Sus scrofa: one gene and its partner. The protein of the gene in region 2 binds, or shares a complex with, the protein of the main gene of each other region. Links are inferred from orthologs where the notes say so. Each region holds a gene or a part of one and is shown on either strand. Other genes may lie near its edges. The genes, in order: EXOSC5 and EXOSC3.

The links.
Region 1: EXOSC3 (region 2) and EXOSC5 share a complex: the UniProt entries of both Homo sapiens proteins name them as parts of the RNA exosome core complex. The link is inferred for Sus scrofa from reciprocal best matches to the Homo sapiens genes EXOSC3 and EXOSC5.

Annotation. Positions count from the first base shown.
Region 1 is NC_010448.4:49,372,867-49,376,113, forward strand, and holds the end of EXOSC5 (exosome complex component RRP46), read right to left. Parts: intron 3,220-3,247; coding exon 3,079-3,219; intron 1,783-3,078; coding exon 1,693-1,782; intron 975-1,692; coding exon 882-974; 3' UTR 512-881; downstream 1-511. UniProt on the Homo sapiens protein: Non-catalytic component of the RNA exosome complex which has 3'->5' exoribonuclease activity and participates in a multitude of cellular RNA processing and degradation events.
Region 2 is NC_010443.5:238,538,681-238,542,958, reverse strand, and holds the start of EXOSC3 (exosome complex component RRP40), read left to right. Parts: upstream 1-1,202; 5' UTR 1,203-1,846; coding exon 1,847-2,170; intron 2,171-2,852; coding exon 2,853-3,002; intron 3,003-4,278. UniProt on the Homo sapiens protein: Non-catalytic component of the RNA exosome complex which has 3'->5' exoribonuclease activity and participates in a multitude of cellular RNA processing and degradation events.

The DNA of each region.
Region 1 (3,247 bases), on a different chromosome or scaffold from region 2:
CACAGAATACGCCCATTTTCAAAAGCCCTTGTGAGATGCTGCCACCCGTGACTGAGAACCAACAGACCTCAGCCACCCCCGTTCACAGGCAGGGAAGCAAAGTGCAGAGTGTACCAGACCCGCATCTCCCGGGTTTGCCCGAACAGTGGAGGCTCTGGGTATAGGTTCTGAGTGGGACCCATGCTCCACCACTAACCAGCTGGTGACCTCTGGCAGTTAACTGGCTTCTGAGCTTGTTTTCTTACAAAGGGACTATAACAGCCCAACCACACCCTTTTTGAGTGAGTAAAAGCAGCACGCAGAGGCCAGACTCCCCTCCGAGGCCCTCAAAACCCGCTGCCAGGGGGTCATCTCCCCAGGTATCCACTGAGCGCATCCCGGCTTCCTCCTGGGCTTCCCTCAGACTCCTCCCATGAAGGTGCCCCAGACTGTATTCCATCTGCCTTCCCCAAATGAACTCGCTGAAACCCTCTTCCCTGCTTTTCTTTTTTCAAAATAGCATTTACCACTCTCCAACAAACACAAATTTTATTTGTCTATCACAGCACTGCTTCTCAAAACCCAGGACCTGGGTCCCATACATTGCCATGGCCTCAGCACCTGGTAGGGCCCACACACTGTAACAGGCCTTGCAGGGCTGTTGAGATGAGTAGGTTCATTCAATAAATGCACAATCCGTTTTCTTGGGGTGGGGCAGACCCTGGGGCTATTAGCCACACATTCCTGGCAGGTTAGGGGCTCCTGCAGTGACAGAGCCACAAGCTCACCCCCACGCACAAGGACAGACAGGCAGGGCCGGGCTGCTGGTTTAGTTGGTACTGGAGGGAGTGGGCGGTGGCGGGAGGGGCACCTGCCCTGGCCTGCCTCAGCTCTTGGCTGCCTCAGCTCTTGGAGTAACGCCTCTGCAGCGATTCCCGGTAGAAGCGGAAGACGTGTTGGGAGGCAGTCTGGGCTGCAGCCAGGCACTGCTGGAGCTGGAAGGAGAGCTGGGTGGGTGCTGGGGGGCCAGGAGGTTCCCCCGGCCCCACCTGACCCCCAGAACCCACAAACCTACTACCCCCCTTCACTGGGTGTCCCCCTCACCCCAGCGAGGCAGGGGGGTGAGGGAAATTACAAGTGTATTTCCTTCTTCCCCACGTCCCGGGCTCCTTGGGGGCGGGGGAACGGGGAAGGCTTCAGGGGTCAGATTCCATCAGTTCCAGGGCAATGGTGCTCAGATTAACAGGATCAGCCATCCTGACCCCTGGAAGCGATTCCAACCTGCCGGGCTCTGGAATCAGAGATTGGAATTTCAGAGCTACAGAATCCAAGCCCCCACATCTTTACTGCCATGTGTGCCTGGACTCACAGGAAGGCCAGGTGGGCAATGCTCCTGGAGACCACCTGGCCCAACAGTGGCCACTCTGTTTTTCAGACACCCTGAATTCCAGAGCGTGCAGCTCTGAGCTGGAAGCTGGAAGGCCTTCAGGTGCTCCCAGCTCCTGATTTCAACCTGAGCCCCTCCTCTCTTCTCATAAACTGGGCTCCCTTTAAAAATTCCCAAAGGTCTCTAAGGCTAAAAGTTTGAAAACGCCTCCTATTTACAGAAGGCAGGCATGGAAGGGGCTCTCCTTAAGCCTCTCAGGGTTGGAATAGGGCCTCTTATCAGGTGGACAGGAAGGACCTGGCTTTCACCCCGTTGCAGGCTGGTACCTCAGCATCTGAGTAGAGTCCCTTGGTGGTGGACATCAGCAGCTTCCGTTCCACACTGTCAAGAGCAAAGGTCAGGACCGCCCGGGCCTCCTAGGGACAAGGGGTACAAGGTGGGGGACCTGGGACTCTCCCCTCAGCCACAATCTCAGTTGTCTCAAAGAGGGGGGCTTACTTTTACAATTTTTCTTTTCAGGGCCACACCTACGGCATATGGAAGTTCCCAGTCTAGGGTCTGAATTGGAGCTGCAGCTGCTGGGCCTACACCACAGTCATGTGGGACCCAAGCTGCCTCCATGACTTACTGCAGCTTATGGCAACACCGGATCCTGAACCCACTGGGCGAGGCCAGGGATCAAACCCACATTCTCATGAACACTAGTGATTTTTTTTGTGTGTACATACTACCCCGTCCCTGCTCCCCCGGGAAATGGTTGCCCACACGACTCTACCACATGGTTCTGACAGGGGCTTCTGAGCACTGTATCCTGGGCCACAGGGCAGCCATGTGTCGGTCATTCGCCTGTGTCTCCCAGCCTCCCCTTGTTGCTCTGTGCCCCTGGGGCTGGAAGCCAGCAAACTGTATTTCCAGATTCTCCTGCTAGTTAGGTTTCCCCAGGAATCTGGTGGGAGACTGGAAGGAAGCAGAGCAGCATCCTGGTCCTTGTAGTAGCAGGAGTTTGGGGTATATTGCCTGCCATGGAAACCGTACCAGTGTCTCCAATAGCACAGAGCAGGAGTTGGCTTCAGGGCGCCTAATCTCTGGGCGTCCTCCCTTCTTTTTTTGCTTTCAGTTCTTCCAATATGATTGTAATCAGTTCCCTGCATTAAATTCCCTCTGTCTGAAATCCCCCAAGGGGTTTTGGCTTTCCCACCTGGATGTGACTGTTTCAGTCTTGGGCAGATAACTAGGAATAACCAGAGCCCCAGCACACTATGAACTTGAGCCAGTGAAGAAAAAGCTCTCTCCTTCTTTGCTTCTGCACCTCTTAAAATCATTTCTCTTTTTGTTGAAGTGGGCTAGAGTTGGGTTTCCAGCACTTGCCCAGATGAATGGAGCAGAGCTTGCCAGCTGGGACTGAAGTGGTACAAGCCAACCATTTTGTTTTTTTTGTTTGTTTTTTGGTCTTTTTAGGGCCACACCCACAGCACATGGAGGTTCCCAAGACAGGGTGAATTGGACTGCAGCTGCGGCCTACACCACAGCTCACGCCAATGCTAGATCCTTAACCCACTGAGCGAGGCCAGGGATCGAACCTGCATCCTCATGGATGCTAGTCAGATTCATTTCTGCTGAACCCCATCAGGAACACCACAAGCCAAGTGTTTTGAAGCGAGACCTGGAGGAGGAAGGGAGAAACTTTCCACTACCTGGCCCTTCATACCTACCTTTTCTTGCTTGGCTGTGGGGTCCAGCATGAAGGTCCCATCGGAGTCCAGAGCACAGGTGACCCCACAGAAGAGGGCCCGCATGGGCACACCCGCATCCACCAGTGCCATGCAGGCAGCATTCAGGCAGCAGGCCAGGAGCTGCATGTCACAGGCAGTAGTTAAGAGT
Region 2 (4,278 bases):
ACTTAGTGCCGCCGTCAGGGTTCGCGGCTCCTAGCCGGACTCCGCACACTTGCTAATGGCCTCGGCTTCCCACGCAACCGCATGCAGGGCCTGCCCGCTGCTCCCATTTCGCGCTTACTCACCAGTGGCCACACGGCTCCGCGGCGGCGAAGCACCTACGTGGTGACACGCAGTGCCCAGGCCAGGCTGCCTTCCCGCCTCCCGGGTGCCTTCCAGCGTCCCACCCTCTGGGCACGCCCTTTTGGGAGGGTCGCGCAGAGCACCGCCCACGAGGTACTTTCGACCCGCCCCTCCCGGCCTCAGCTTCCTGTCTCAGGTAACCACTCTTTTCCAGGCCTCTGGTCTGTGGACTTAGGGATGTGCGTGCCCACGTGCCACCCCCACAGAAGTGCCCTTGTTAGGACTCCTCAGCCGTATCTGGGCTGAGTTCCTGACAGAGACTCCTCTACTGATGCCTGAGAGGCCATCCAGGGATCGTTTCCTGACCTCTCAGGCTGTAACCCAATGTCACTGAGCACAATTCAGGCATGGTCTTGGCCCAGTCGTGATTGAGTTAGTCTTGGTCACCTAATACCTACTGGATTCAGGTCTTCAGGAACTGGGTTGGAGTAGGGAGGAGAGAAAAATAATCTACACCATCCTTTCTGCAAAGGTAACCAACCAGATTGTTTTTACAGCAACTGACTACAAAACAAACAACAAAAATTACATTTCAGTTGACCTCTGGTATCTTATTTAGGTGTCTCACCAGTATCTTACAGAGTATGGAGAGTATATTAGAGGTAATCTCTTTTAAATATGATCAGAGCCACACCCTCCCAAATCCCCAGGAGCTCTGACTCCTACGATTATTTGGCTAAGGCTAATTGGAGGTGCCAGTTGACAGAGGAAACGGTGATTTAAAATTTTTTTTCTTTTTTTGGCCGCACTCGAGGCATGTGCAAGTTACTGGACCAGGGATGGAATCTGTGTCACAGCAAGGCCCCGAGTGAGAACTCTGGAAAATGATTTCAAGTGAGAGTCCTGAAAATCAGAAGAACAGAGCTGATGTGCTATTGATTTGGAATTCAACTGCTTTTCACATAGGCAACTAAAGCTAGCTCCAGGGAAAGCAGTAGCAAGGATTTAACTGCCATTAGCGATTTTTCTAAGCCAGCTAGGGGTAGCGCAATTATGTGGAAATATGCATGCAATATGTATCTATTCGAAGGGAGGAAAAAAGCCTAGGTAGAAATGCACATCAAAATGTTAACATTCATTCTTCCTTTTATTCACCGGGTATTACCTACTTCGTGCCAGGACCTGCGCTACAAACAATGGGAACTAGCTGACAATCTAGCAAGGGAGACAAACGGGCGGCAAGACTAACACGTTTTATGTTCTTATTCTTCTCTATGTTTTCCATTATGTGAATAGATATATTCTCAAGCAAAACCCAAAAAGATTTCATACTGAAAAAGAAAACACTTTTCCTCGTAAAGGTCCTTTTGAGGGCAGAGTCAGAAAGGAGAGCCAACTCAAGAAGGACCTCTGCTCAGTTCCTAAGGCTCCCCGGGAACCAAAGGTGGCGCCGTCTCGTATCGCACCGTCCGATCCGAGACACCGGAAGTGGAGGCTCCGCGACAGACTCAAGCTGCGCGTTTCTCCTGCTGACCACCGCAGGATTAGCGGCCGGCTAGAGACAATCATAGCTACCTTGGGGCAACCTCTGAGAGCACAGAACTGTCAGGCATCACTGCAGTAGTTTCAAGTCCCACAGGCCTGTGCTGCCGGAAACGGAAAGCTTTGGGTGGCCTGGCGATTGGACGCGGACCCGGAAGCCGGAAACTGTTTAGTTACACTCGCTATGGCTGAGCCAGCCGCTCATGCTGCGGAGTCCTTTGCTGGTTGCAGGGCGCGGGCAGCCCGTACAGTGCTGGATCAGGTGGTGCTCCCGGGTGAGGAGCTGCTGCTGCCTGAGCAGGAGGACGGAGAAGGCCCAGGAGGTGCAGGGGAGCGACCGCTGCGCCTGAACGCCGGAGCGCGCCCGCGGGTGCGCGTGGTGTGTGGCCCGGGCTTGCGGCGTTGTGGCGACCGGCTGCTGGTCACCAAGTGCGGCCGCCTCCGTCACAAGGAGGCCGGCGGCGGCGGCGGCAGTGGCGTCTATTGGGTGGACTCGCAGCAGAAGCGGGTGAGCCGGGTCTCCGAAGGGGTGGGACGGCCGGGAGAGGGCTGGGAAGACTCCTCGAGAGAAATACAGAAGGGACCCTGGAGCCCTCTTTTAAGGCTAGCCTACAGCTACCGTAGTCTTGTGCTTACCCTCCGCAACTCCTTTAGGGGGACTGTGAACAACTGTAAAGTGACCCGAGATGGGCGACCAGGAAAGGATTTTGGAGATCTTGTCACATAAGGGGATAAGGGCTGTGAGACACGTCATTATCTTCAAAACTCCAAAAGTCAAGGAGCCGCAGACTTGTCTTTGAGGGTCCCAAAGAACCAGGCTCAATGAGTAGATGTCACAGGGACTTATGCAAACAAACCACTGAACTCATGCAAACAAAAACTAGGGAGTTCCTGAGGATACAGGAACAGAAGGATACAGAAGAGTTGTGGAATACTGACTTAAGTGAACACATTATACTGTTTAGAAGCTGCAATCTTTAGAGCTTATCATGTGATTGCTTTTCTTCTACTGAAGGTGGCATGTGATCAAGTTTGTTTTAAGATTTGTATTGATTGGTAAACTTGGATTTCCAAATATTTTCTAAGTATTTCTAATGATAATAAAGTAACCACTAAGGACTTGCTGAAGATGTCTTCAAAATGACTGTCATTTATGGTCATTCATTCTCTCGTTGTGTTTTCTTTTGTAGTATGTTCCAGTCAAAGGAGACCATGTGATTGGCATAGTTACCGCTAAATCTGGAGATATATTCAAAGTTGATGTTGGAGGGAGTGAGCCAGCTTCTTTATCTTACTTGGCATTTGAAGGTGCAACTAAAAGAAACAGACCAAATGTTCAGGTAATGACAGGACCTTTGGTTTCAAAAGTAAGAAAAATACCCAATCCCTAAACACTCAGATATCCAGAGGGCTATCTTAAGTGTCTTATTTTCCCAGTTTCTATAGGATGACTTATCACTCCAGGCTTTAAGAGCCCTTTGAGATGCTCGCTCTGGGACCAGACCTCATACTTATTTTTCATTTGCTCCATCAGGGGATGTTTTCATCTCTACTGAGTTGAAAGATTATATCTGTTTTCTCCATTGTTATTATGTCTATATGCCCTGGACAAGGCAATAGGCTCAGGGAGGAAAGAGGGGAAAGTGGTGCACATTGCCATGTCAGTTGTCTATCCCAGTGTGAGTCCCAGGAGTAGCATCTCACAGCTTGTCAGATCACTTTCCCAGCAATCCCTTTTTTGTAGCTGACAGAGGTGCAGTCATGTTTTCATTTGGGGCTTTTCAGGTAGCATGGTCACACTCTTCCTGCCAATCTAAGTCAGAAATTTGGTGGCTTCTTTGCTCTTCTCACTCACCTCTCTTGTGTCTTTATTATTTATTTATTTATTTATTTGTGTCTTTTTAGGGCCATGCCTGTGGCACATGGAGATTCCCAGGCAAGGGGTCCAATCGGAGCTACAGCTGCCAGCCTACACCACAGCCACAGCAACGCTGGATCCTTAACCCACTGAGCGAGGCCAGGGATCAAACCCTCAACCTCATGGTTCCAAGTTGGATTGTTTCCCATGCACCACAACGACGGAACTCCACCTCTCTTGTGTCTTTAGTTGTTTAATCTTATTGATCCTTTTTGAGTCTTACCTCTGATCTTCCACATGTCCACCCCTTTATCTCCACTTTGCAAGTTCAGGCCTTAGCTATCTCTCTTCACTGACTTAATCTGTGACCTCCTTATTAACATCCTTTTTGTACACTTTTGCCCCTCCATCCAGGCTTTTAAGAACTGACACAACTCTTTCTCCCCCTACCCACGCCACCCCCAAAAGTTCTTTAAAGCTTACGTATTTCCTTGGCTGATACTCAGAGGTCTCCTCTCATCCATAGTGATATTCTCCATGTGGCCCTGCCTGAATCCCACCAAACTATGTAACAGCCCTGTACCTTTGCCCATGCTCTTTCCTCTGCTGGGTTGCTCTATTCCCAACACATGCTTGTCTTTCAAGACCTAGGCTGAACACCACCGCCTCTGTAAAAACACCCCTGATTTTCAGTCACTTTTTTCTTACTGGATTCAACTAGAATGAAATTTGTTATTTATATTGTACATCCCCACTAC